Linked DNA regions of Anolis sagrei. The protein of the gene in region 3 interacts with the protein of the main gene of each other region in a pairwise test. Links are inferred from orthologs where the notes say so. Each region holds a gene or a part of one and is shown on either strand. Other genes may lie near its edges.

Region 1 (7,335 bases), on a different chromosome or scaffold from region 3:
CTTGTTCTTAAGTAATACAGTAATTAGATAGGGTAGGTAAAGGAAGAAGGAAGGAAAGTAAGGAAATAAAATCTATTATTCTATTATTCTGATTTTGCATAATGTGCTGTATTTTCTATTTGCTTTTCTCCTTTTAATGGTTTGTGTTTTTAACTGGTTTTACTTTTATTAATAGCTTAATTACATGCTTAGGTTTTGTAAACTCTGAATTTTTAGTCATGCTTAACACTTGTAAGCTGCCTTGAGTCCTGAATTGGGATAAAAAATGTCCAGACATAAATATCTCTCATATATATATGAGTCTGTTTTTCAAAGAACAAGGGGAAACTTGCAAGTAGTAAAAAACCCAAAAAACCAAGGCCCCCAGCACAAGACGTTTACTGTAAATAAAGATAAATTGTGCAAAGGAGATGAAGAGAAAAAGGGAAAAGGTAATGAAGAGAAATTTTGTAATGATCAACAAAGATAATGGGATTGTCAACATCACAAACACAGAACTGAAATGCAAATTCTTGTCAATAAATCACTTCATACAGCATGCAGGTAGTTTCCCTTTTACTATGTTTTTGACAATTTTACAGTGTCCATAGTCCACTCTATTATGTTCATTTACGGTTCTTCCTTGCAATGAGCACAGGTTAAGACATTGTCGCTGTTGCATATCATCATACAGAGAGGAGATAAGAAAGGGAGATTGCACAGAAATACGGTCATGTTATAAGTCTGTGATGTCACTACAGGGTACAGTGAGGTGACACCAAAACAATTGTCTATAAAATTACAGCAGAAATGTATTATTTTTAAATACTTTTAAATCATACAGAAACATTTTTGTAAGGTTACATGTCTTACAGGGATAAAACTGATCTGGTCAAAGCTGTCATTGTTACCCAATTGCCATCATGCCTTGAATCAAATGGTTTTGTCTGCATGTACTTTTGTTTTAATTGTGGCTACTTTTTACACTTTTTGTGATGTTTTCTGATATTTTAGCTGAAATATTCTGGTCTGGTCAAGGAAGGCCCGTGGGGTGGCATTATGGGTTATTGCACTGAGTGATACCAGCCCTAGGGGACATCTGCACTGTAGAACTAACATGTTCTACACAACACTTAAACTTCCCATGCCTCAATGGTATGGGTTCATGGGGGTGGGTGTTTTAAAAGGTCTCTATAATCTTCTCTATGCCCCCTGGTGAGGCAGCAGGTTAAACTGCTGAGCAACTGAACTTGCTGAGTGGAAGGTTGGCGGTTCGTTATCCAGGGAGCGGGGTGAGCTCCTGCTGTTAGCCCCAGCTTCTGCTGACCTAGCAGTTAAAAAACACGCAAATGTGAGATCAATAGGTAACGCTTCTGCTGGAAGGTAATGCTACCCCATGCAGTCATGCTGGCCACATGACCTCGGAGGTGTCTACAGACAACAGCAGCTCTTCGGCTTAGAAATGGAGATGAGCACCAACCCCCAGAGTCGGACACAGCTAGACTTAATGTCAGGGAAAACCTTTACCTTTACCTTTAGTGTTGATAAAATAAATATTTATTTAAAATCAGCAAGGATAATTGTTTAGGAGTCAAGAAAATTTTAGAAAAATATATAAATCTTCACTTACATCCTTCACTGAGAGCCTTCCTAAGTTCAGTGGTCAATTCATTTCATCTGATTGACACCACAATGTGCCATAATTAAATACAAGGCTCTTGTAAGTACAGTCTTCCCCTCACTGCCTTGGAAGTGGAACAGTCCATACATAGGGCCCTTCCAGACAGGCCCTATATCCCAGGATCTGATCCCAGGTTTTCTGTTTATCCCAGGGTATCTGGCAGTGTAGACCCATAGGTAATAGTATGATAGTTGGGTCCGGAAGCTCTGAGCATTACAGAGATGCCGCATAGCTCCTTCAGGAGCGCTGTTTGCACAAGAGAGACTTAGCTAATGTAAGCCAGGCTGGAGACAGATAATACAGAAGGAATGTAAGAGTTCTTTAATGATGAAATTCTAACCCTCACTGTAAACCTAAGCCTAACCCCTTACCCAAACCCTTACCCTAACCCAAACCCTACTCTAACCATTATCCTTACCCTTACACTAACCCAAACTCTAAACCTCGCCCTAACCCTAAACTTTGCCCTAACCCTTACCCTGAGCATCCCGTTTTCTATCCTTCCTTCGCTCTCCCCCCTTATTCAAAGCCGCCTTTGCGGCATTTCCGTAACGCTCGGAGCTTCCGGACCCAGCTATCATACTATCACTGACCCATATATTCCAGTTTAAAGCAGAAAACCTGAACTCAGTTCCTGGGATATATGGTCTGTCTGGAAGGGCCCATAGAAGATGATCTCACTGATAAATTTATTCTGGGATATTTTGACACCTGCCCATGCTTCCCTGCTATTAACCAGCTAGATAATAGGATGATAGCTGGGTCCAGAAGCTCTGAGCATTGCTCCTTTGGGAGCGCTGTTTGCACAACGCAGAACGGAACACAGATATTATAGAAGGCATGTAAGAGTTCTTTAATGGTAAAACCCTAACCCCTAACCCAAACCGTAATCCTAACACTTATCCTAACCCTAATTCTAACCCTTTGTTGTTGTTGTTCATTCGTTCAGTCTTTTCCGACTCTTCGTGACCTCATGGACCTGCCCACGCCAGAGCTCCCTGTTGGCCGTCACCACCCCCAGCTCCTTCAAGGTCAGTCCAGTCACTTCAAGGATACCATCCATCCATCTTGCCCTTGGTCGGTCCCTCTTCCTTTTTCCTTCCATTTTCCCCAGCATAATTGTCTTCTCCAAGCTTTCCTGTCTCCTCATGATGTGGCCAAAATACTCCATCTTGGCCTCCAATATCCTTCCCTCCAGTGAGCAGTCGGGCTTTATTTCCTGAAGTATGGGCTGGTTGGATCTTCTTGCGGTCCAAGGAACTCTCAGAACTTTCCTCCAACACCACAGTTCGAAAGCATCTATCTTCCTTCACTCAGCCTTCCCTATGGTCCAGCTCTCACATCCGTAGGTGACTACGGGGAATACCATTGCTTTTACTATTTTTTTTCGAAAGCATCTATCTTCCTTCACTCAGCCTTCCCTATGGTCCAGCTCTCACATCTGTAGGTGACTACGGGGAATACCATTGCTTTTACTATGCAGATCTTTGTTACCAGTGTGATGTCTCTACTCTTCACTATTTTATTGAGATTGGTCATTGCTCTCTTCCCAAGAAGTGTCTCCTGATTTCCTGGCTGCAGTCTGCGTCTGCAGTAATCTTTTCATCTAGAAATACAAAGTCTGTCACTGCCTCCAAGTTTTTCCCCTCTATTTGCCAGTTATCAATCAGTCTGGTTGCCATAATCTCTGTTTTTTAGATGTTTAGCTGCAACCCAGCTTTTGCACTTTCTTCTTTCACCTTGACTCCTCAGCTTCTCCTCGCTTTCGACCATCAAAGTGGTATCATCTGCATATTACCTTAAACCTTATCCTAACCCTCCCCTCCTTTCTATCCTTCCACCAAATGCAACTACGAAGTATATTCCTGCCCTCAATGTGCCGCTCTCCCCTTCCCTTATTCACAACCCCCGTTGAGGAATGTGCGTAACACTCGGAGCTTCTGCACCCAGCTATCATACTTCCATCACCAGCCGCGATTTAGTGTGCATCCGGGCGTCCCCTGGACAACGTCCTTGCAGACGGCCAATTCTCTCACACAAGAAGCGACTTGCAGTTTCTCAAGTCACTCCAGACACGAAAAAAAACATGCGCATGCGCCGTTTGAGGCGCTGCACTCTAGCACGCCTCCTGTGAGGAAGAGGGGAGCAAAGGTCTATTGCAGGGGTCCTCAAACTAAGGCCCGAGGGCTGGATACGGCCCTCCAAGGTCATTTACCTGGCCCTCGCTCAGGGTCAACCTAAGTCTGAAATGACTTGAAAAGCACACAACAACAATAACAATCTTATCTCATCAGCCAATAGCAGGCCCACACTTCCTATTGAAATACTAATAAGTTTATATTTGTTAAGATTGTTCTTCATTTTAATTATTGTATTGTTTTTAAATGTTTTTTGCACTTCACATAAGATATGTGCAGTGTGCATAAGAATTCATTCATGCTTTTTTCAAATTATACTCTGGCCCTCCAACAATTTGAGGGACTGTGACCTGGCCCTCTGTTTAAAAAGTTTGAGGACCCCTGGTCTATCGGCCTGGCCTCCTAGACATTCAGAAAGGAGCGCTCCAAGTGGCGCATGCGCACTGGGTCGCTGCTGAGCCGCCGCTGATTGCTGAAGAGGGAGAGTTGTCGTCCGCGAGAGGCGCGCTCTCATCTGAGATTAGGAGATCGACTGTTCTTCCTGGGCCGGGCCGGAAGGAAGTGCCCAAGCCCAAATCGAGCGCTTGCCGAGTTCTTCATCCCATTTCTGGAAAGACCTCCTGGCCGGTTTGCTGCTCGCCCGGGTCCCGTCGCCATGGTGAGAGGAGAGACGGAGGGGGCGTTCGGTCGGGGGTTGTAGCTGCGAGGCGGAAACGAGTCCGGTTTGCAGGAGTGCGGGGAGGCCGCCTTCCCCGCTTTAAGGCCCGGTCGGAGTGAGTCAGCACAGCCCGGGGATGGCGGGCGCCTCGCGGCCCGGGGAGAGGCGCCCCAATGGCTCCCCTCCGAACTCCTTTTCAGGGACCCTGACTGACTTTCCCGGGAAAGGGGCATGGAGGTGTTCTGTGCCTGCTTTGGAGTCATTTCCAACTCATGCTGGTCTCAAGGAGAATGAATGCAGTTCGGCGCCACTTTCACTGCCATGGCTGGGTGGGTGGGTGCTGTGGGATCCTGGGAATTGTAGTTTCAAAAAGAGATTTAGCCTTCTCTGCCAAATAGTGCTGGTGCCTCATCAAACTACAACTTTCAAGATGCCATAGCGTTGAACCCTGGCAATTCAGCTGGTGTCAAACTAAATTGATTTTACTGTGCACTCTAAGGCAACCCTGTTATGGGAGTTTCTGGGGCTGAAAGAGTGGCTTGCAATGGTCACCCAGTGAATTCAACCCCTGCCTCTCAAAGCTTTTCTAGGGTAGCAGTTCTCAGTTTGTGGGTCCGCAGGTGTTTTGGCCTACAACTCCCAGAAATCCCAGTCAGTTTACCAGCTGTTAGGATTTATAGGAGTAAAAGGGCAAAACACCCGGGGGCCCACAGCTTGAGAACCACTGTTCTAGAGCTTTCAAGGTCCCCCTTCTCTAGTCCCTTTGGGATACTCATTCTGAGTTCCCCTGTTACTCAGTATTTTATTTCCAATATCTGTTGGAAATAGCATTGTCTGATTTTCTGAATACAGGTTGAGTGTGTCTTATTTGGGAATCCCAAATCTGCTAAAATCTAAAATTTTCCACCTCGGTGATTGAGATAGTGACACCTTTGCTTTCTGATAGTTCAGTCTGCCCAAACTTTGCTTCATGTACACACACCAAAAATGCAAAACATTGGGTTTCTGTAAGTTTTCCAGCTAGTATGGCCAAGTTCCAGAAGCATTCTCTCCTGACATTTTGCCCACATCTATAGCAGGCATCCTCAGAGATCATGAGGTCTGTTGGAAACTAGGTAAGTAGAGTTTACATATCTGTGGAATGTCAGGGTGGAAGAAAGAACTCTTGTCTGCTTGAAGCAAGTGTGAATGTTACAATTGGCCAACTTGATTAGCATTGTATGGCCTTGCAGACACAGCAGAAAATAGTTCTTTCTCCCATCCTGGACACTTCACAGATATATAAACTTCACTTACTTAGTTTCCAACAAACCTCACAACCCCTGAGGATGCCTGCCATAGATGTGGGCAAAATGTCAGGAGAGAATGCTTCTGGAACATGTCCATACAGCCCGGAAAACACAGCAACCCAATGATTCTGGCCATGAAAGCCTTCAATAATACATTTTTACAAAACACTGTTTATAAAATTATTTTCAGCCAATGTGTATAAAAGGTTTGTATGAAAAATAAAATGAATGTCTTGGATGGACATAGGTATGTCATTATGTGTGTATATGCAAATACAGACATGCCAAAATCCAAAATTCTGATGGTCCCAAGCACATTAGATAAGGGATACGCAACCTGTATCAATAAGAGATGGTTGATATGTAGGGTTGGCAATCAAGAAGTAGCTGTTAACAAGCTAGCATGCTGCTGAAATGCCAACAAGATGTATTGATTTCAGTAATCAGAGCCTTATCTTTATCTGTAAAATCAGTAAATTGGCAGCAGTCATAAATTACATAATGGGTTCACTTCTCTGTGTGTGGAGCCAACACCCCCAAATACAGAATTTTTTGGCATCTCATACAGTCTAAGGAAAAAACTTTACAACACCCAATATGCAGCATCCTATAATAATGGACATCAGCCTGTCCTATAAGGGAGAGGATTTATGGTTATCAAATAAAGGACATTCCTTATAATATATAACCCATGGCAACACTAGTCAGGACACAGATGTGTGCCAAATAAGAAAGAGACCCTAACATTCAGTTAATCAAAGTAATCCCTGCCCGGTTTTGTTTATTTTCAGAACAACGCAAGAGTTCATTACTTACTCCGATTTGTTACTGGGTTGAAACTGGTTTTTTGCTGTTTGTTCTTGTCATACACTGGTTTTTCCCATCACCTCAATTTCCCCATCTCATTCAATGATCCTCCATTATTTGTAAAAGGCCCACGTCCTTCTTTGTTACCACATGATTCAGCAGTTTGTTCTACATTGTATCCAGTGTTCTCCAAATAATACGGTTTCTTCCAGAGTTTCAAATATCTATAGATGGATTAGTCATTTTCAGACACCTTGTAGTGCTACCACAAAATGTAATTGTTTCTGAACAGCGTTGGAGAGTGATATCTCACATAATTTCTGGCCTCTCAAAGAACATCCCAGACACCAAATTGCTGTAATCTAAAACAAGAGCAGGAGCATTTCATAGTGACTTGTTATTTAGAAGAGAATTAGAATTTTTCCTAACAAGTATTAGCAATAATATAATTTTCAACCAACATAGTTAGAACAAGAAGGTTAATGTTCTTCATATTGATAAGCTTTCTTTTTGAAGGTCTCATGTTAGGTGTTGCTCAATATCTGATATTTCCAGTAGGCAACTCACTCCTGTTGAAAATGAAAGCGAAACCTTCTTAATTTGAAAAAGTAATGGACCTTTTTTGATTCCTATGTTGAGGATTGTGTTTCTGATCACGAATTATTTATGAAATGTCCTCTCAAGATTATCCATTGTTCTTGCATTTTTAAATGGTTTCCTTTGATCTCCACTCTTGGTTTATACAGCACATCTTCTAGGAAACTTACACAATTACAAATTGCA
Region 2 (7,369 bases), on a different chromosome or scaffold from region 3:
CATACATGAATCTTTGGATTCAAAAGTCCGAGTTCCTCCATGATCAAAGAAGGCTTGCAAATACTTATCTGTTCACCTTGGACAGGTAAGCAATCTGTCTAGACAACCAGACAGGAAAGCCGATTCTTTGGGGCCAGAAATGACTGAGAAAAGTGCCTGTAAATGAGTGATTTGGTAATTTTTCTCAGCAGACTTGAAGGCTAAATGATCGCTTGTATTATAAACATAAAGGATATTAGTCCAGTAGTCTGTATACGTACAATGAGACTTGGAGAGGGAGATCCAAAGTTATGTTCACCCTGCTTAACCAATTAACCTGTTTATGTTATTTATTAACATGAATATTTTTCTTATTATCTAGCATTATGTTTACGTTTAATGTATTAAAATTTACATTAAAATATTCGATTTATTTTTAAAATGTTAGATTATATTATTGTCTGGCATGGAAATGCTGTATCAGCCTGCTCAAATTTTAAGATAAGCGGGGAGGGCTTTCTCTTGGTCCCACCCTGTGACAAGGACTAAAAGTGAATCTACACTGCACAATTAATGCCATTTGACACCACTTTAACTGCCATGGCTCAATTCTATGGAACCCTGAGTACTGTAATTTTGTGAGGTACCAGCACAGAGATGGCTAAACACGACAACTCCCATGATTTCACAGCATTGAACCATAGCAGTTACAGTGGTGTCAAACTTGATTATTTCTAGTGTAGATTTACTCAAAGAAGATCTTCTTTATGGCTTCTCCTAGGCATTCCCTCCTACAAGAATCTTGTTTGGTTCTTCTTCCACCTGCAGGCAAAGACCTTTTTGTTTAGGCCTCTGGCTGCAAATTTGCTGTTGTAGAAAGATCTCTTAATGGCATGTGTTGTTCTTCCATATTCATGAGTCATGTTTTAAAGTAGTGCCTTTTAAAACATATTATTTTGAAATTTTGCACCATACATTGTTTTATCTATACTCCGTTTGTAAATATACTGAAAGCCACCTTGAGTTCCATATTGGAAGAAAGGTGGGATAGAAATTACAGTAATTCATGTACTTTAGATATATTATTTTCAAAAAGTGGCTTACAAACTACTCATCATTTCTAAGTTGGGATGCTCCAAGTTTTTGCACTAATATGAAAAACCATGCTGTACTGATTTGTTGTATATCTGTAGGAAATATATATATATCTGCTGCCCTAGATAATAGGATTGGAGCAATAGGTTCAAAGAACAAGAAAGGAGATTCTACCTGAACATTAGGAAAAACTTTCAGACCGTGAGAGCTGTTCAATTGTGGAACTCTCTGCCTCTGTGTGTGACGGAGGGTCTTTCTTTGAACGCTTTTAAACAGAAGTTGGGTGGCCATCTATTTGGAGTGCTTGATTGTGCTTTTTCTGCAGGGCAAGGGCTTGGGCTGGATGGCCCATGTGGTTTCTTCCAACTCTATGATTCTATGAAAAATATTGACTAGGAAAGTCCTACGCTTGTTGGAGCAGACTACAAAACCTGTTGTGTCTGAAAGCACCTTTCTTGGTGTGATAAAGTACAAGGAGGTACAAAGGAGGACCTCTTGGGCCCCATCTGCATTGCTATTTGCAAATGGTATTACATGATCAGTGTAAACCAGGCATGGGCAAACTTCGACCCTCCAGATGTTTTGGACTTCAACTCCCACAATTCCTAACATTGTGAGAGTTGAAGTCCAAAACACCTGGAGGGCTGAAGTTTGCCCATGCCTGGTGTAGACTCATATAACACTGTTAAACTGCGTTAGATGAGTCAACACTGATCATATAATGCCATTTCAAACCTCCTGTCATCTGTTGTGTAGTCCACTGGGTGGCTCTGGCCTAGCTAATACACAGGGCACTTTTGCAGACAGGTGCTGCACACCTCGAAAAGCATATGAAACACAGACTCCAGATAAAGCTATCCCTGGTCTGAAAAGCCTGGGATCAGAGGTTTAGTTCCCACTTCCCTCCGCCCCCGATTTTTGAAATACTTCTCTTTGCACATCCGTTCACAATTGGAGGTGAGACCGGAGTCTAAACATGGTGTTCATTTATGTCTCATATATATCTTTTAAGGTCTGAAGGCAATTTTATACACAGTATTTCAAATAATTTAGTGCATGAAACTACGTGTGAGTATAGTGACCCATCAGAAAGCAAAGGCATCCCTACCTCCGCCACCCAAGTGGATGACTTTTTAATATTTCTGGATGTTGGAATCCCAAATAAGGGATGCTCAATGTACATGGCTGGAGTTCTGTTTGATAAGAGAAGAGCATTCTTCCCTCTGAGCTTAGGAAGCATATATTTATGTAGAAATTGTTGGAGCCTTCAAGGAATCATTGAGTGTGTGTGTGTCAATTGCAAAATAAGATGCATGAATCTGATTGGTCAGGCAATGCCTGAGCTGAGCCTGGGACTTTTGGTTACCGTTACATTTTTGTTCAGCAGAGCTATGCAGGTGTCCAGCAGAGAGAGAAGAGTAAAGCACCCAGAGAGATAGCTTAGAGTGTACTCTTGCTTAATGAGCTGCTGTAGGAATTTCTCCACATGGACAAAGACCATTTTAAATCTCTCATAAAAGGACATTATGTGAGTTGATGCAACTGAACACATTGTAAATATGTTGTTCTGATTGACAAAGAGTAAACTACTTTTTTTTTCGCTGTTCATCTGCGTGGCTTATTTTCTTTCTCTGGCAAGGCAGTGTGTGAGCTGATCAAATGTGAACTACACGTGGTTTATTTTACATTACGCCACAGAAATGACAACTAAATAAAATGGGATTTTATTGCAGAGGAAGCATCCCTATAAACAGTGATAGAAGCTTGTCCCATCAACCCTAGTCAGTACAGGCAGTCCCTGAGTTACAAGTATCCGACTTACAAACGGCTCATAGTTAAGAACAAGGATGAGACAACAAGAAATGGTTATATTTTATGGTATGCTCTATATTGTTGCCTGTTGGAAGCCATCCTGAGTCCTTCTTCGGAGGTTGAGAAGGACGGGGTATTAATGTTTTAAATAAATAATAAATAAGTGAAAGAAATCTACCTCTAGGATGGGAAATTCATTCCTGAAAGAGTTATCATTGGAAAAGGTGTCTCCACTGAAGCTGTATTACGAATTCTTGCTTCCGCAAGCCAAATTTTTTGATAGGGCTGTGTGGAAGGGCCTTTGGGACATCTACAAGAAAGGACAAGAAACTACAAGAAAGGAGATTCCATCTGAACATTAGGAAGAGCTTCCTGACTGTGAGGGCTGTTCAGAAGTGGAACTCTCTGCCCCAGAGTGTGGTAGAAGCTCCTTCTTTGGAGGCTTTTAAACAGAGGCTGGATGGTGCTTTGTCAGAAGTGCTTCTTGGACTGGATGGCCCATGAGGTCTCTTCCAACTCTTTGATCTGCACAGTGGAATTCATGCAGTTTGGCCCTGCTTTAACTGCCAAGGCTCAATGCTATCCATTTCTGGGAGTTATAGTTTGTTGATGCTCCTGGGGAGGAGAATCATAGAGTTGGAAGAGACCTCATGGGCCATCCAGTCAAACCCTCGGCCAAGAAGCAGGAAAATTGCATTCAAAGCACCCCCAACAGATGGCCATCCAGCCTCTGTTTCAAAGCTTCCAAAGAAGGAGCCTCCACCACACTCCGGGGCAGAGAGTTCCACAGTCAGGAAGTTCTTCCTAATATTCAGATGGAATCTCCTCTCTTGTAGTCTGAAGCCATTGTTGTGCGTCCTAGTCTCCAGGGAAGCAGAAAACAAGCTTGCTCCCTCCTCCCTATGACTTCCTCTCACGCATTTATACATGGCTATCATGTCTCCTCTCAGCCTTCTCGTTTTCAGGCTAAACATACCCAGCTCTTTCAGCCGCTCCTCGTAGGGCTTGTTCTCGAGACCCTTGGTCATTTTAGTTGCCCTCATCTGAACACATTTCAGCTTCTCAACATCTCCCTTCAATTTTGGTGGCCAGAATTGGACACAGTATTCCAGATGTGGTCTAACCAAGGCAGAATAGAGGGGTAGCATGACTTCCCTAGATGCAGATACTAGACTCCTATTGATGCAGGCCAAAATCCCACTGGCTTTAGAGAAGGCTCTAAAAAAAACAGAGGAATGAGGCAGAGTAGTTAAAGCGGTGTGGAAGCGCGTTAAGAGTAGAGAGAAGCACCCTTCTCTCTATTCGATTCCTCCTCCTCCCCCCTCCTGCTTCGGCCTTTTCCCCGCCCCCTGGTTCCTTCGCCCTGCTCGCGATTGGGCGGTTTTATTATTCCGCCTGAACAAGCGGCGCGGGGATTGGGCGAGGCGCTGTGACGCGGGGGGCCGAGCTGCGGACTTGTTGGGATTTTGCTCTGTCAGTAACACATGGGCCAGAAGAGCGCAGAGGCGGAGGAGGGAGAGGAGCAGCAGAAGCCGAGCAAGCAGAGCCAGAGCCAGAGCCAGAGCGGGGCCTCCCTGCGCGCGTCCCGCCGACCACAGCGACGCCACCGCGGCCACAACTCCTCCTCTTCCCTCCACTTCGAGAGCAGGAAGGAGCGCCGACCCAGCCTGGGAGCCGGAGCTGTTCCGCTTCCCGCCCGCTGAACCAACCCGCCGCTTTCGGGACTTTTAAACACCGAGGAGCCCATTTTGGAAGAGGAAGAGGAAGAGGGAGGACCCGGGCTCGGAGGAGGAGCAGCAGCAGCAGCAGCGGGCCAAAACTTAGCCGCCGAGGAAGGGAAGGAAGGAGGGAAGGAAGCAGGAAGGAAGGACGGACTCACTCGCTTGCTTGCTGACTCCGGAGGCGAGAGACGCGAGAGAAGGGGCGCTGCTTCTCCCCCTCTCGCCCGCGCCGTGCGGGCTCGCTCGCTGCCTTGCTCCGTCAACAACCTCCCCCTTTTCCCGCCTCTCCGCTTTCTGGCCACGAAGAGCCTCCCCGCCTTTCCTCCACCACGTTATCCTCGGCCTCTTGCACCATAGAGGGGAAACAGGTACGGCGGCTTCGGCGGGCCCTTGCCCTTCCTTTCCCTTGCCCTTGCCCTCCTTCCTTCCTCCCTTCGTCTCCCCGCATTTGGAAGCCAAACAAGCCCGTCAACTCCCCCCCCCCTCCTTTGCACTTCTTTCTTCGCAGCTAAACACTCCTTGGGAAACAGTGGCAAGAGAAAGAAATCTCAAGTGAGGAGGAGGAGGAGGAGGCATTTTCTTTCCTCCCTCCCTCTCTCTCTCTCCCCCCGGATCGAGCTGATTTCAAAACAAGCCGTGAATTAAAGCATCCCATTATTATTATTTTCAATTTTTGGAGTTGCAAGCTGTGTCTCTATGAATAGTCTCTGTCAAAGGGCTCTCTCCTTCTCTATTTCTCCCCTCCCTCTATTTCTCTCCTTTCTCTCCCTCTATTTCTCTTCTTTCTCTCTCTTTCTCCTCTCCCCCTCCCTCTTTTTTCTCCCCCTCTCTCCTTCTCTTTCCCCTCTTTCTCCTCTCTCTCCCCCCTTCCTCTCTTCTTTCTCTTCCTCTTTTTTCTCTTCCTCTCCCCCTCTCTTCTCTCTCTCTCCCTTCTCTCCCTCTTTCTCCTTTCTCTCCCTTCTTTTTCTTTCTCTTCTCTCTCCCTCTCTCCCCCCTTTCTACCCTCTCTCTTCTTTCTCTCCCTCCCTTTCTCCTTTCCCTCTCCCGCTCTTTATTCTCTATCACTCTCCCTTCTTTCTCTTCTCTCTCCCTCTTTTTCTCCTCTCCTTCTCTCTCTCCCTTGCTTTCTCCTCTCCGGTCTCTCTCTTCTTTCTCTCCCCCTCTTCTTCTCTTTCTCCCCTCTCCCTCCCTTCTTTCTCTTCTCTCTCTCTCTCTCCCCCTTTCTAAACTCTCTCACTTCTTTCTCCCCCCCTCTCCTTTCCCTCTCCAGCTCTTTATTCTCTCTCACTCTCCCTTCTTTTTCTTCTCTCTCCCTCTTTCTCCCCTCTCCTTTCTCTTCCTATCTTGCTCTTTCTTCTCTCTCGCTCTCCCTTCTTTCTCCTCCCCAGTCTTTCTCTCCCCCTCTCTTTCTTCTTCTCTTTCTCCCCCTCTCTCTCCCTTCCTTCTTTCCCTCTCTTTCTCCCTCCCTTCCTCCCCCTCTCTTTTTCTCCCTCTGTGTGTGTTTCGCCTCTCCTTTTTGTTTCATTGCCTCTGTTTCCAGGACCCGAAATGGCTGTGTAATTACCAGAGCGAGGCTAGTTCAGTTAAAAGCTTTTCCTCCTCTCTGTCTCTCTCTTTCTCTCCCTGTGTGTGTGTATTTTTTCTCTTCCTTCTTTCCTGCCACCTCCCCAACTCTGCCTGAAACTTGATCAGGGCCCCCATCCTTCCTTCGTGAGCGAGGGAAGGAGTCACTTTCTGGTCAGTCCTCTTGATTCATCTCTTTTAGATCTAATCAGCATTAAGGTATTGCTTGTCCTTAAGAGCTTTGGCTTAATGGGGTTACTGGGTGCTTCTGTCAGGGTAACGTTTCCCCTTTAGGTACAATATTTACTTTTTCTTTTCCCACATAGACCCTGGTGGACAAGGCACAAGTGGGTTTGCATTTGAGGGGGACACTTTTGGGGTTCTTTACAGGAGGTGTGGAAATAGGATTTGTTTCTAATCAGAAAGTCAGAAAAAAAGGCCAGGTTCGTATTGCTGGAAATGGTAACAAAAGGCCATTTCGTGAGTTTAAATGCATCAGAAATCAATTTACATAAAGGTATATGATGCATTCAGAGAAATGCAATGCTAATGGCTTTTAGAGTGGTTCTCTTTCCCCCAAGTCTCGGGGTTTTTAGTTACAGTCTTAATTGGTGCAGTTCGCAGGCTGGTTTATTGTGTGGTCAACTGAACCATATGATCAGGAGTTATTTGGAAGGAAAACCTGCTTCTCTCGCTCTCTCTCTCTTAAAAAAGGCCTATTTTAAGGAAACTGCTGTTGTAACTAAGTTGAAAAAGTTTGCTATTCTGTTTCCTCCTATGTGTTGTTATAGCTGAATGCCTTAAAGTGAGCAGGGACCTTTAATGAAAGGAGAAACACTGCTAAATTGACAGTAAATAACTTGATATTTTTGATATCTGAATGCAGGCATGGGCAAACTTTGGCTTTCCAGGAGTTTTGGACTACAACTCCCACAATTCCTGGCCTCAGGCCCCTTCCTTTTCTCCCTCAGCCGCTTAAGCGGCTGAGGGGGAAAAGGAAAGGGCCTGAGGCCAGGAATTGTGGGAGTTGTAGTCCAAAACACCCGGAGGGCTGAAGTTTGCCCATGCCTGGTATAAAGGAATGAAGAAACCCAAGTCTGTTGGACTCCTCCGGGTGCATTAATCAGTTTCAAGCAAGCTTTATGAATTGTTTCCATTATTAATCTCCCCAGTGCCCTGCTTTTATGAAGAATGTATTA
Region 3 (7,639 bases):
GTCCTGGTACTTCATAAAACTACAACTCCCATGAATCCTTAGCATTGAGCCATGACAGTTAAAGGGATGTCAAATTGCATTAATTCTATTTGGTAATCTCTCCTTCAAATATATTCTATTCAGATGTCATCAAATTAGCCTCCCCAAGAAGTAATCTCCTTTCCCTTAATTTGATCCACAGTAAAATGGGCAAAACAAATTAGCAATATTTTTTCCAAGGGTTGGATAACAATCAGTTCATTGAACAGGCCTGTTGGGAAAAAAATTCATAATTAGCAAGGGTTTGTCTAAACTTGCTGTTTGAAGTAACAAATCCTCCACGATATACAGATGTGGCAAGTTGTTAATGACTATCAATCATGTCCTTGGCATGTCTGCTCTAACTCCCTGGCTGAAAGCCATGCTGTGCTTGAGACATGTTTCTTTCCATGCTTTCCAACCAGAAATACATACAGCCTCTTGCTCTTTCAGAGGAAGAGATACACCTTTCTCTTCGATGCTGAAAGACTGATGTTGCCAACTGAAATTCTGAAGGTGTCGATCCAATAGGAGAGTCTGCATAGAGGTTTTGACTCCCAGAACAACAAAGTCCCACCTTTTCTTTCAGAAACTTTATCAGCCCATTTAAAAATTAATGCAAAAGGTAGCAAAACTCTTTACTCAGTTACACAACCTTTGGTTCCTTGGGGAGACCCCACATTTTTTTTTTCACTTTCTGTCCTTAATTGAAGTGACAGTGGAGACCCATTTTCATGCATGAGTCCTGATATGGATGCATCACTTCTAACCTGCATCAAAGAGGACATGCAGTATTCCCTCACTACTTCGTGATTCGCTTTTAGCGGACTCGCTGTTTTGGGTTTTTTTGAAAATATTAATTAAAAATATATAATATTTACATCCAGTGGTGGTCAGGGACTCTGGAAGTGCAGCATCTGAGGTGCGGTGGGGAAGGCCTGCCTTCCTGGCCTCCACAGACCAGGCTCCGGAGGCTCTGCCGGGGTCTGTGGAGGCCAGGGAGGGAGGCAGGCACCCTTGGGATGGACCAGGAGGTGGGTAAGGAAGTGCGGGTAACAAAATAATATATAAAATATATAATGTATAAATATTAAAATTAATATGGCATCCCTACTTCACGGATTTTCACTTATTGTGGGTGGTCCTAGAATGTAACTCCCGTGATAAGTGAGAGAACACTGTATATGCTTCAGTTAACACAGCTTCTGTAAAGCTACTTTTTATAAAGTCTTTTGGTGGGTGCCTTGCCTCCCCTCCCCCAGCCTCTCTCTCTTGTTTTCCGTTTTACCTGAAGTTTTGAGAGGATGATCAAGATCAGCTGGAGAAATTTTCTGGACAAAATTTGAGTATTGGATAATAGTACTATGTCTACTATAAACGATGTAATAAATTTAACATAGGAAAAAATTGGATTTTATTGTAGGTGATCCTGCTCTAGCTGTGTGTGCTTAGATACAGCAGCCAGTTTAAACAGCAGCTGTCTCCATAATCGCTTTCTGAGCAGCATTCAAAGCAAAACAGAAAAAAAAGGGCAAGGCAGACTGACATGTAGAAAAATGATAGAACTATATGTTTCACCACAGAATGGAAATCATTAGAAGAAAAGAGACTCTTGAAAGCAGGCATGTAGCTGGGGGGGGGGGCGACTTCAGCCCCCCCCCCCCCAAATTCTCATGGTGGTCTGCGAGAAGGCCTTACTGGTACATTATTTAAACTGTTATGTTTATTCATATCATGATTTGATCACCATGGAGTAATGATACAAAAGGTTTGCTAGGGTAGACCCTCTCACTCAGACTCAGCCCCCCCCCTCCCCCGAATCAAAATCCTGGCTACAGGCCTGCTTGAAAGGGAAAGAAAATCATTTCTGAATGATTTGGAAGAACTTTCAAGTGGTGTCTAGGAGATTCAAAATGTTTTTTGTTTACTTATGCAAGGCGCACCTAATTTGGTTGTTTCATTTCTTATGTGCATAATATTAGTTTTGGATAAAAGATTTGCTGAAATATGTTGAACCGATTTTTAGTTGTATAGGAACCCATCCCCATTCTTTCCATGTTATTTCTTCCTCTGGTTCCAACATTTCAGTTAAACAACTAAAGTCCAGGAACACATCTTCTACATTAGCCAAGATATGCTTGTATAGGTTAATTTAGCCTTGGATGCAAATAAAGAGTGACTTTCTACCTGGAAAAACATGTGGTGCAGAATTGGCACTTCTATAAGCATTCAAGTGTATGGTTATAGGTTGTACAAAAAGAACCCAGCAAAAACAAAGGTTTTTCTATGATCACAGCACTAATTTGTATGGTTCTGTGGACGTGTGGTTCTTATCTTTCTGTACCAATTTTGCATCAGGGAATTTTTGTGCTACAGGCATTTGTTTGTCTTCTCTATACTGTACAAGTGCAATTCTCATCTTGGAGGAAGGAGGGGGATGCAGTAGCACATTGAACATATTTGTGTTTATGAAAGGGAGCAGCCACTGCTTGATTTACCATTATGCTTTGGTGTGCTTGTTGACCAGTGAGACCCATGTTCCTCCCCCCCCCCCCCCCACAATTTTTTTTTACTATGGATTTTACTTATGTAGTGAAATTCTACATTTGAAGGTATTCTGTTTCAGAGCAATTCCAGACATAATGATAGAGTTGATAATATATTGGAGTGTGACATAAAGAAGGCAATGTAGGCCTACTGGACTTACCTCCTTTGGGGCCCAAGTAAGGGCCTCATAACTTAACTAGCCCAGGGCCTCATTTGTCCTAAATCTAGCACTGGGAGCAGCAGTCATGATGGGCAGCCCTCATGACACTGGAACAATGGATACTCTTGAGTTTTAGTCCAGGTTTGAAAGATGTTGTCTAAGATTTTGTGTGGGAACATCTGACTTTGTAAGATTCTGTAATGTCAGCATTCAGCCATTATGTTATTATACAGGGACATCAATAAGTGACCAATGTGTATCAGGACCAATTTATAATAGGACCAGTGTGCATTGAGATCAACATGCATTGGGACCAAAGTGCATCAGGCCAAGAAACTTTGGTCCTTTTTTGTGCTTTGGGACACCAGCTATATACATACTCTGTGTTAGAGGAGCCTAGCCCTTCTCCAAAATGTTGACCATATTTTTAAAATAAGTTTAGCATCTTGGATTGTGTATTGAAAGTTCTGACTAAAATCTAGAGTGGATTGACGTAAAATGGATTGACAGGGAGGAGAGCGCTTGACCTTCCAGGTGAAGCAAACCAAACCTTTACTTGACATTAGTGCCAGTCCAGCCTGTCTGCACCCTAGTTCCCAACTTGGGTGTGGTAGGAGTGTCTGTGAAACTGGATCATGGCAGCAATGGGAAGAAATGAAAGCAGGCAAGTGCTCTTCTATCACTTTAGTATCCATCATCTTCACCTTGATTGACAGATTACCAAGTCTCCAATGCACATAAGCTCCTTTGTGCAATCGCTCGGTGAATGAAAGAATTGGTATAGAGTAGGAGAGAGGCACGAAAAGAGAGTGAGTTAAAAGAGAGCTCTAACACTAGAAGAAATGTTGGGTGCATCCAGTGTCTCATAGTGCTCTCAAAAATAAATCTACTTTCCACTAGTATGAGGTCCATTTTCATCATAATGGTTTTCACTTCGAAATTTCACATAGCTTTTGCAGAACTTAGAAGTACAGCGTATATCTTGAAGAAGAAATACAAAACAGATGAAGGACCCATTCTACCTGGAAAATCTCTTACAAATGCCTAAATTAAAATGAAATAAACTGCATAGAACACAATGAATTCTTGCAGTTTTCAGTCACTAACAGAAGAATCAATGTGAGGTATTCATCTGAGGCTTATGAATTCTATATTCTAGTTCCCACTGAACAACAGAATTCACTGAATTTCTTTGGACAGGTCACTGTTTGTCAACTTCACCCACTTCACAGGTCTGTAATGGGGATAAAACATAGAAGAGGAGAGCCCTGCATGCTACCTTTGGCTTGTTGCCCCCAAAGTAAGATAGAAATATGCAGTAAATCAAATAAATGCAATAGTCTAAAAGAGATGTTACCAAACACCCCCACTTTTTATTTATAAATAAGTATGTGCATTTTCAAAATCCAGATGGAAATTGGAGGGGGGAGAGAGGTTGTTGAGAGAGAAATGTCACAGCAAATGAGCCACAAATTGGTTGCTAAAAGACAGAGAAGGTAGTATGGACATCTGGGAAATTAGGGGAATTTTTGCTAAAATAATTTCATTCTGCATGCAATAGTTTCCATTGGCATGGCTTCTCTATTAATGAAGTTTCAGTATGTATTTCCTTCACTTTGTATCAAATGTTTGAAAGAGAAAAAAAGATATGGATACAGAAAGAGAGATTGCGAATGGAGTAATCCAATCTCGGATGCCAATTGAGACAATTTTGAACATCTTTTGTTTCATTGAATTTAAAGAAAAATATGTATAGAAAGCACAGCCCCTCTTTTGGATGAGCTGTTACTTTTTTCCATGCAAGCACATGTTTTCAGCTTGCCTCACCCATGAGGGTGTGTTTTGGCAATATGTGTGCTTTCTGTTAGCATAAACACGCCCCACAATGACAACTATAAATGGAGCCCGGCAAAGTTTCAAAGCCTAGCTCTTGCATGCTCAGCCAAGCCAAGTAACAGTCTTGCATCTGAACCTTCACCTATTGTTCCCAGAATGTCTACCTACTATAGTTCCTCTGCTTCTTATGGTGGTGGTATGGGTTTTGGAGGTGGGGGTGGCTCCAGCCGTGTGTCCTCCGGCAGCCATGGTGGAGGTGGTGGCCGGATGTCCTCCTCTTCTGTTAGGTATGTCTCTTCTGGAGGAGGACATGGAGGTGGTTATGGAGGAAGCTTAGGAGGCGGGTATGGTTCTGGATTCATCTCTGGTGGAGGTGTTGGCTTGGCTTCAGGATATGGTGGAGGTGCTGGCGGAGGCTTTGGTGGAGGCTATGGTGGTGGCTTTGGTGGAGGTGCTGGTGGAGGCTATGGTGGTGGCTTTGGTAGTTGCTTTGACTATGGTGGTGGAGATGGAGTCCTCCTTACTGGAAATGAGAAGGTGACAATGCAGAATCTCAATGACCGCTTGGCCAATTACCTGGATAAGGTGCGGGCTCTGGAAGAAGCAAACACTGACCTGGAGGTCAAGATCCGAGACTGGCACCAGAAGCAGGCCCCTAGTAGTCCAGCTAAGGACTACAGCCATTATTACAAGATTATTGAGGATCTCCGTGACAAGGTAGGACCATCCAGATGAAAATGTGTAAAGCATGGAGGGGGATTTCATCTTCCAACTTACATCTGTAGCATGATTTTAAATGATCCATGTAATAGAGCATGATATATTGTACAATGTGATGTTTCTCTGGGGATAAACAGATCTAATATAACTCCAATTTCTGCTTAAAAATCAAGCCAAGCAAAAAGGAAACCTTTGTCTTTCTGTTAAAAAGAAAGAAAATGAAATGAAAAAGCAACCTGATGGTACTAAGAAATAACACAACCCAATTTCATGAAATGTTACAAATGCAACCAAATCTAATAAGGTTATTCATTTTGTGATGCAGAAAAAATGAACAAATGGGAAACCAAAGAAGCATGCTGCTTCTTTGATTGCAACAAAACTCTAAAATATGTTGGATTCCCAAAAGTTCAACTGAATAAGATGAGATAACTGCAGTTATCAGCTGTGTAAATAGTTTTTAAGATGTACATTGCAGGTATTCGAGTCTGTGTGATGTAGTGGCTTGATTGTTGGACTACAAGTCTAGGATCCAAGCTTCAAATCCCTGCATGGCCATGGAAACCCAACTTGGGAAAGTCACACTTTCTCAGCCTCAGAAGAAGGCAATGGCAACCTTCAGCTGAAAAAAATAATTGGTAAAAATAGTCCCGTAATAGTCTTGCTCTGCGTCACACAACTTGAAAGTATACAACAACAAAGCATGAACTGCTTTTAAAACCAGTGGATGGGAAATGTTTGAAGCTCTTCTTCATGGTTTTGTGAAACACATTTGTGGAAGATCAAAATGCATTTGAAGGGGGGATAAAAGGGTGGCAGTCCAAAAGGAATCTCCCCCTGCCTCAAAGTCCTAGATAATTGTGCAAATATAGTGTCGTTATGCTTGGCAGAGAAACCTTCTCATACTTCTGAAAGCTTTAGGTACTTAATTTCTGCTTTTGGGGGTAAAGCTAAACTAACAAGAGCAGAACCTGTAAAAGTACATGCAAGTAATTTCTGTGAATCTCTGTATTCTATGATTTATCCATCTTCTTAGATGATATGTCAGAAAGCATGAGCCTATACTTTACCTTGAATAAAGCCTCCAGCCAGGAAATGTTTAGCTTCTGTTCCAGACTGGGCGGGGCTGGTTGTGGTTAGTCCACAATAAGGAAAGGCATTATATACAGGTTCAGAGGTACTCCGATGCTACTTTGCAACATCAAAGGCATTTTGAAATATTTCCAGATATGATTTCTACATCATAACTTGATAGTTCTATAGTAGATGAATAATCACTCACGTGATCAAAAACAACAGTGTCTAGGAATTTCCTTTGTTGTTGAGGGTAAGGCAAAAAGAAAAATCTGCCATCTTTCAAACATGCAAGTCAGTCATTGGGTCGTGAGTTTTTTGATCTCTTGAGAAGCTGTCCAAAACCAAACCAGACCACCTCTCGATCAATATAGTCTGCTCCAATTGGCATCAGGTCTGTGGTTTATCTGGAGAGGGGATGAAACCAGAAACTCACGTCTGTGCAACATGTGCTCTACCATCGAACTCCTTACTGCTCATTAAGCCCTTTATGAGCAATAAACTAATGCATTATTGTAGTGTTTTATACCTAATTTCATTATTATTGGTAATAAACTAAGATCCAACCCATGATTATACTAATTTGGTTCAGCAGACCACCTTTAAGTGGTTCTCAGATGCTGATTCAAACTTGTCAAACCATTATTTACAGATATTGATAGCTGACTGATGCTTTGGTTTAATATTCCCTCTTATGTCCAAGGAAGTTTGGGTTCTGTTCTTTGTTTTTGTTTATCTTAAACTTCATTAAGATCCATACAACTCACTTTGGTATAAAAAGAGGGCTCCTTGCTATTTTTCGTCCATATGTTCTCATTTATATTCATGAACATTTCTGAAAAATAAAATTATGGAATTGCAAGAGACCACATGGACCATTTAGTCCTCCTGCCGCACAGGAATACACAATCAAATCACTCCTGAAAAATGGCCATTCTGCCTCTTCTCAAGGCTAGATCATGCCAAGCTCCCTGAATTGTTCCTCAAATGACATGGCTTCCAGACCTTTTGTCATTTTGTTTTCCCTCTTCTGCATAAGTTTGAACTTGGATTCAAAACTCGACAAAGTAGATTTTTTTTATTTCCAGATTAAAAAGTAGGATCCGGGGTAGATACAGTTTAGGGTGCAACACATCTTCCAAAAAGAGCAATAGTACATGTGTCTACACTGTACTGCTGCTAGAGGAATGAAAGTATACATTAAATGCCTTTAAAGTATACACTAAATGTCAGGACATTGATCTGATTGATTTCATATGGCACATTGAACTTTTATTCAGGATA
Region 4 (7,506 bases), on a different chromosome or scaffold from region 3:
TGGCTTAGAAATGGAGATGAACACCAACCCCCAAAGTCAGACATAACTGGACTTAATGTCAGGGGACAACTTTTACCTTTACCTTACAGACATAATGATAGAGTTGATAGCGGGGTTGCCAGGCGCTGAAGGTGAAAATAAAGTACTCTGGAAAGGAAAGGCCTCATCCCCGCCCCCTTTCACCCAAGGTCCTCTATGGCCTAGACACCTCTTGTGGCAAAGACATCCAGATAGTACCTGCACCCAGCCTCCGGAGAAGGTCTAGAAGGGGGAGTGGGGAGAGGTCAGATGGGCTACAGAAGATAGAGAGACCCCTCGCCACCCAGAGTGGAGCCCATGTCACCTGGGTGCCCAGAAGGATGCCACCATTGGAGGGAGGGGAAGAGGCTGGCCAGGCTTGGACTCACTCCCTACCGGAAGGAAGCGCATGCTAGGCTCACTGCATACTCAGATCTGGTGCATGCAATCAGTGGAAATAATTATAATGATGAATGTTAAACTTCCATTCTATGTCTAACTTTTGTTTATTTTAATATGTATTTTATGGAAATATGTTTTAATATGTGTATTTTATGGAGTGTTTTTTAAATTATTTTGTGTTTTGATTAGGTGTTGTAATAATGTTGTAACCCACCTCAAGCCCTGAGAAAAGGCGGGTAAAAAATAAAATTATTATTATTATTATTATTATTATTATTTGATGTCCTGGACCAGGGTGCAATGGGACGTGGGACATTTTATCTAAATAAGGGACTGTCCCTTATAATCCAGGACACCTGGCAATGCTGGTTGATACTCTATCAATGGGAGTGTCTGCTGGACCTACCTCCTTCGGGGTGCCACAAAGGGGCCTCATAACTACTAATACAGGCCCTCATTTGTCCTAAATCCAGCACTGCTCATTTGAGTCGTCATTTTATAAAAAAGATACAATTTTATTATTATCCAATTGTATATAATGGAAATGGAGCAACCACAGGAGTCCTGGAACCAAGCACCAGCAGATACCAAGGAACCACTGTACTTCCATTTATCCTGTTTGTTGTAACTTTTTATAACTGTTTGTACTATTGAGAGGAGGAAACACATTAGAGGGATGAAACTGAAGTTCACAGTTCAATCTTTTAACCTTCTTGTTGTACAGTTAATTCAACTAACAGAATATATACTACAATATTCTTTATATATGCATCACCGCATGAAATAATCCATATGCTAGTGACTGGGCTAAGTGTTTGATTGTACATTACAGGGGCTAGTAATTACATCTTGTATGTGGCATTAGAAAAATCAGATTACATATGATTATCCATCCAGATTTACCAGCATTCGGCTGTAGATTCTCTGTTCCAGTGCCAAAGCACTGCACAGAAACATCCAGGGAAGAGGCAAAGGTTTCACTGACGTGATTAGTCTTCCTAGCAGGCTGAGTTCTTCCTCTGAGAAATGGAGCACTGACACTATTAACCAAGCTGGACTCCAAATGCTTTTAAAGGATTTTTAAAAGTCCAAATCTCTTGATCCTCAGATGCTGTAAAAGCTAAGGAATTAAATACTTGTGAAATGGCTGTGTGACTATGTGAGAGCTAGTCCTAGACATTTTGCTGCCTGATGTAGAGCAGAAATTGGCACTCCTACCTGCCAAATGAAACTGTATAGTACCCTAAACCAGCCATTATTTTGGTGCCTGAGGCAGAAATTCGCAATCAACTCTTTCCATCTCCTGGGCGATAAAACTATAATAACAAGAAATTAAACAGCTAACAATTCAGTGCCCTTTCATGACACCAAAACCTGCTACCAAAGATGCCTGAAGCAAGAGTGAATCACAAAATGTATATTCTCCCCCCACCCCACCCCACCCCCATCCCAATGCAGTGGTCTTTAAACCACAAGTAGATCTTTACAGCCTAGGGAAAATACTGATGGTATTACCATTTAAAATATATATTATTTCTCTTTTGAGAAAGAGAGAGAGATTTAGGAGTGAAAGAGGAAAAGAGTGACTAGATACAAATGAACATTTTTTAAAAGTTTAGTATTGTACCAAGAACCTTTCCCCCAGTATTGTATGAATTTTGAAGCCTTGGGCCTCCAAGTATGCATTCTGAACATATGCAGGAGGATTTACATGCATTTACATATGTACACACAGAGAGGCACTGGTTAAAATCTTGGCAGTTTGAAACTGCCAGCCGCAGCAAGAGAGTTCCAAAAAGGACTACACTAAGGGGCACTGCGACACTACACAAGTATAGTATTTACATATATACACACAGAAGTCTTAACAGGATCACATAAACCTTAAGGTTCTACTTTTACTGCCATGGTTCCATGGAATATTGGGATTTGCAGTTCATTGTGTGCCTTAAAATTATTTTCAACTTCATGTGGCCCTAAGGCAGACTATTGGAAGAGCAATAAATCACAGAGTTTCCTTGGTAAGATTTGTTAAGGAAAAAGTTGCCTTCATCTGAGACTGCATGACTTACCCAAGGCCATCATCTAACAGAGTTCACGGCCAAGTGGGGAGTTGAACCCTGCTCTCCAGAGTGCTCTCCAGAGTCTACTTCAATGCTCAAATCACTACACCAGTCTGGAGTTTCCTCCTGTTTGGTAAAGTCCAGCTTTACTTCCCCATTTCTCAATTTGTTGGTGTTAAAAGTTATTTTGCAAGGGAAACATTTTGAATGCCACAAACTGCTGGTCTGTGAAGCAAAGCACAGACCAATGCTACATAGTTGCCTCAGCATTCCAAGACTCAGGAATAGTTCAATGAGATTCCTCCTGTAGTAGACCAGATGCCAGATTAATGTAGTTTCTGGTTGCTTGAGAGTTACTATTACAAATGGGCTTAACTAGCACTATACACTAAGCCTGGGTAACAACGAAAAAAATTGTTTCTAAAATCGATTTGTATTTGGGGGGTTTTTTTGTTTCGATATTTAAAATAATTACAAAATTTTCCTTTTAAAAAGTTCGATATTTACGAAATTTCGTAAATGGTAAAAAAATTAACGAATCGATTTCCGAAACAATAACGAATCGATTTGTTAATGGCAGACGCGACCGCGAAATACGCTAAAAAACCTCCAAAACCTTCTGAAGCTTCCCTCTCCCTCTGTTGTTGACTGTTGGTGTGATTTTATAATTTTTTTTCACTAATTAAACCATAAAACTGGCCCAGTCATGCGGAAATAATAACGAAACGACCTCAAAACAATAACGAAATGAATACAATATCGAAATACGAAGCATTTACAAAACGTTTTTGAAAATTCTTTTTTTTAATAATTGCTCCAGAATGGTTCGTTATCGTTTTGTAATTGAAAAAATTAACGAATTATTAACGAATTACGAATTAACGAAACGAAACCGCCCAGCCCTACTATACACCATGCTATACCATACCACAAACTTTTTACAAACTTTATTACTATGTTATTATTTTATTTGATGTTAGTTTTGTTTATATGTACTTTTGCTCTATTGTAATTTGTATGGGCATGGCCTCATGTTAGCCGCCCCAAATCTCTTTGGAGAGATGGTGGCAGGGTATAAATAGTTTATTGTTGTTGTTATTATTATTATTCTATTTTTTGCTGGTTGTGTGAGAGTTCCTGTTAACTAAGAGTCTACTGTAGTTTGTTACAGGAGTCTTTAATATTTATTGACTGTTATAGCAGTGTTTTGCATTTTTTTAAAAAAAGTCCAACTTCCCTCTTTCTCAAATTGCTGCTAACCTTCTAAGGGAAAAAGTGGGGAATGGCACAGGCTGCTGGCCTGTGAAAGCAAAACACAGGTTGTGTGGCATTTTGCTAAACATCCCCAACTGAGCAAGACCCAGGAATGCTCCCAGAGCTGGGAAAAGACCCATCCAATCCAACTCCATTGTGCCATGCAATCCTGCACGACTTTGGCATGGGCAAACTTTGGTCCTCCAGGTGTTTTGGACTTCAACTCCCAAAATTCCTAATAGCTGGCTGACTATGGGGCCTTCCACACAACCTTATATTTCAGAATATCAAGGCAGAAAATTCCACAATATCTGCTTTGAACTTATTTGAGTCCAGCTAGTCCTAGACATTTTACGGTATGATGTAGAGTTGCAATTGTCACTCCCACCTCCCAAATGAAACTGTATAATACCCAAAGGGCCCTTCCGCATAGCCCTATATCCCAGGATATCAAGGTAGGAAATCCCACATTATCTGAGTATGGACTCAGATAACCCAGTTCAAAGCAGATATTGTGGGATTTTCTGCCTTGATATTCTGGGATACAGGGATATGTAGAAAGACCCTCTGAGAGAGCTAACCCTAAACATTTTGCAGCCTGGTGTAGAGCAACAATTTACACTTCCAGCTCCCAAATGAAACTTCATAGTACCCTAAACCTGCCATTATTGTAGTGCCTGAGACAGAAATTCCCACCATCATCTCATTCCATGGGCGATAAAAACTATAACAATAAATTAAGCAGGTAACAATCCAGTGCCCTTTCATGACATCAAAACCCTGCTACCAAAGATGCCTGAAGCAAGAGGGAGCCACAAAATGTGTGTGTATTGTGGCTTTCATGGCCAGAATCATTGGGTTGGTGTAAGTTTTCCGGGCTGTATGTATATTCTTTTCCCTACCCCATCCTAATGCAGCTGTTAGGAACTGTGGGAGTTGAAGTGAAGTTTGCCCACGCCTGCTTGAGGATCTCCTCTATTTGACTCTTTCGAGTTCACGTTGGGACTGAAGGGGAGAGCTGGTCACGTGGGAGGAAGGGGTGAGGAAGTCCCTCTCTGACCAGCCCAGCCCCGCCCGGCTCGGGCTGGAGGGCGGGGCGCGCGGTCTCCTTGGCGACGCTTGTGACGCGCGCGCGCTGCCTATGTGGCGCCGGGGCGCGCGTGGCGGGGGGCGGGGCCGGGGGGGCGCGAGGGCACTCGGGCCATGCGGCGGCAGCAGCAGCGACGGCGCCGCGCGCGTGGCGGGTGGGCGGCGTGCGTGGGCGGCGAGGAGGAGGCGGGCAACCAGACCAGCAGCCGCCGCGCCGCGGGCAAGAAGAAGCCGCCCGCCCCGTCGTGCTGCAGCCTGTCCGGCGCGGAAAGCCCGCGGGAGATGGCGAGGCGCAAGAGCCCCGGGCGCTTCTCGCCGGCGTGCGGCTTCCTGGAGGCCTACAGCTCGGAGCCCGAGGTGGCGGGCGGCGAGGGCCGGAGGGGCCGCCTGGCCGGTCGGCCGGGAAAGAGCCGCGCCTGCTCCTCCTCGCTCCGCCGGCCCAAGCCCGCCTCGGCGCGCCGCCTCTCGGCCTGGCAGCCCGGGGGAGAGGGCTGCGCCACGCCCGGCACGGCCACCTCTTGCACCACCCTCTACGGCGGGGACTGGCCCGCCGGCCCGCGCGCCGAGGAGCCCTGGGCCAGCCCCGTGCCCCGCCCGCTCGACTACGCCGCCGCCGACTTCCCCACCGACGCCAGCAAGCCGGCCTCGCGCTGCCCCTCCTCCTACTCCTCCCTGGGCCCGCCCCCGAAGCCCGAGGCCAAAGAGCTCAGCCGACGGGACTGGCGGGAGCTCTGCGGGAGCAGCCCCAGCCTCGTGGACCTCATGCACTCCTTGCGGAAGTACGAGGAGGAAGAGGAGGAGGAAGCTGCTGCTGCTGCTGCAGCCTATGACCCCATCGGTGCCACCCCACACCTCCGCCACCCCCAGAAGCAGCCCAGGAAAGCCCACGACCACCAGATCCACCTCCATGACTTGGTGGACAAGCGCTACGAGGACCTGCTCCCCGAAAGGGACAAGAAGATCGCTGCCCTGATGCTGGCCCGGCACCAGGAGGAGGAGGAGATGAAGGACAGGCAGCTGCGGGTTTCCGACGCCTGGGAGAACCTGAGGCGGAAGGAGAAGAAGCACAAGGCCCGGCTGGACAAGGAGCGCCGGTACCATGTGGCCGACAGCCTGGAGCAGTGGCAGCGGGACCGCGACCAGAGGCTCTCCAAGCTCCGGCTGGAGGAACAGCAGCTCTTAGCCTCCAGGGAGAGGGACATGATGCTCCGCGACAAGAAGTGGAAGAAGCTGGCCAAAGAACAGGAGTCTCGGCGCAGAGAGAAATGCGAAAGTGCCCGGCTTCAAGCCGAGTACCGGAAACGTTGCCAGGAGAAGCAACTCTGGGAGAAAAAGCTAAGCGAGAGGAGTGCTCGGGAGCAGAGCTCTCATGCCTACAAGGAGAAGATGCTGCAGGCCCTGGAGAAGAGGCTGATGAAGGAAATGGAAAGGAAGAGGCGGAAAACAGATATGAATGAATACAGGCGGGCCCAGCACATGCACAAGGACCAAATGGATGACCGGCTGAAAGCGGATGAGCTCTACAAGAGGCTCTGTATCGAGCAGAAGCTCCAGCGGTCTCAGGAGATCCTGGAGCAGCTGCTGGAAGAGAGGAACAGGGAACTGAAGGAAAGGTCTTTCAAAGAGGAGGAGCAAGGCATGATCGCCAAGGTGCGAGCCAAAGAGACGGAGGAGGAGAAGAGACGGCGGAAGGAGATGTTGCTGCAGATTGCCGAGATGAAGATCCAGCAGGCCAGAGAGATCATGTCCAAAAATATTGATGACCGAGCACAGCATGTAAAAGAAATGAACTGCCTGAAGGAAAGGAACCACCATTGCCGCAAACAGAAGCTCGATTACGATGAAAAATGTCACCTACGGGAGTTGCAAGAAGCACTACGACGGAAGGATCAGAAAAGCAATCAGATCCTAAGGCACAAAGACACGGCTATTGAAGAATCGAGGAAAATTGCCAAAGCATCGTATGACCTTAGGGAAAAAGTGAGAGATCTGATCAACCATAATTCATTCGATCAGATGGCATTAGATGCCCATCGCAATGCAAGCGTCCTTAGAGGTCTCTAGTGAAGTGTAACGAAACATCCCAGAATGTCTTGTGCCCCTCAAAACATGGTTGTAATGTGTTCATTTTGTAGAATTATGCACTGCTGTACACTAAAGTGGTTTCAGCCTTAATTCATGTTTGACTCATAAGTCTTTGGTTGGATTGTGATTTAAAGAAGCTGTATACCACATCTCACTTAGCTTTATATATTGTATCTCATATATTACTTGGATTTGAACGTAAGTCACTACAGCTTTATACAATTAATTGTAGCCATGACATAATGGGTGATACCTTTTAATTTAATATTTCTGTAACAATCCTTTTAAGTGTGTTTTTACAATGGCAACCTGAAGTTCTTCATAAATTCTTGATTTCACATATATTTAATGACATTAGCATTTCATATCCAAGTATGCATCCATCACTCATAATCAAGAACATAGTGAAAGTTGCTCAATATTTTTATATTTCAATAAATATTTCTATAGTTCAATAAATATTTTTATACCCAAAGAAGCAAGTCTCCAGTGCACATAGCTAGCCCACTTATTTCTGTGAATCATATCATGGTGTCCATTTGGGGTGGCAAAGTGCCCCCTCAGATAATCTTGGGCTGAAATTCCTAAAATTTAA

Evidence for each region.
Region 1: the proteins of keratin, type I cytoskeletal 13-like (region 3) and PSMA1 interact in binary tests that used the Homo sapiens proteins (3 or more experiments, as listed by UniProt). The two-hybrid records come from large-scale screens. The link is inferred for Anolis sagrei from reciprocal best matches to the Homo sapiens genes KRT15 and PSMA1.
Region 2: the proteins of keratin, type I cytoskeletal 13-like (region 3) and LMO4 interact in binary tests that used the Homo sapiens proteins (3 or more experiments, as listed by UniProt). The two-hybrid records come from large-scale screens. The link is inferred for Anolis sagrei from reciprocal best matches to the Homo sapiens genes KRT15 and LMO4.
Region 4: the proteins of keratin, type I cytoskeletal 13-like (region 3) and CCDC185 interact in a two-hybrid assay, tested with the Homo sapiens proteins (2 studies listed by BioGRID and IntAct). The two-hybrid records come from large-scale screens. The link is inferred for Anolis sagrei from reciprocal best matches to the Homo sapiens genes KRT15 and CCDC185.

The regions. Positions count from the first base shown.
Region 1 is NC_090021.1:250,232,287-250,239,621, forward strand, and holds the start of PSMA1 (proteasome subunit alpha type-1), read left to right. Parts: upstream 1-4,332; 5' UTR 4,333-4,453; coding exon 4,454-4,456; intron 4,457-7,335. UniProt on the Homo sapiens protein: Component of the 20S core proteasome complex involved in the proteolytic degradation of most intracellular proteins. This complex plays numerous essential roles within the cell by associating with different regulatory particles.
Region 2 is NC_090024.1:153,051,153-153,058,521, reverse strand, and holds the start of LMO4 (LIM domain transcription factor LMO4), read left to right. Parts: upstream 1-4,354; 5' UTR 4,355-4,975; intron 4,976-6,366; exon of another isoform or gene 6,367-6,389; intron 6,390-7,369. UniProt on the Homo sapiens protein: Transcription cofactor. Plays a role in establishing motor neuron identity, in concert with MNX1, acting, at least in part, to disrupt LDB1-LHX3 complexes thereby negatively modulating interneuron genes in motor neurons.
Region 3 is NC_090026.1:39,014,695-39,022,333, forward strand, and holds the start of keratin, type I cytoskeletal 13-like, read left to right. Parts: upstream 1-4,639; 5' UTR 4,640-4,717; coding exon 4,718-5,278; intron 5,279-7,639.
Region 4 is NC_090021.1:87,015,058-87,022,563, forward strand, and holds CCDC185 (coiled-coil domain-containing protein 185), read left to right. Parts: upstream 1-4,933; 5' UTR 4,934-4,940; coding exon 4,941-6,890; 3' UTR 6,891-7,001; downstream 7,002-7,506.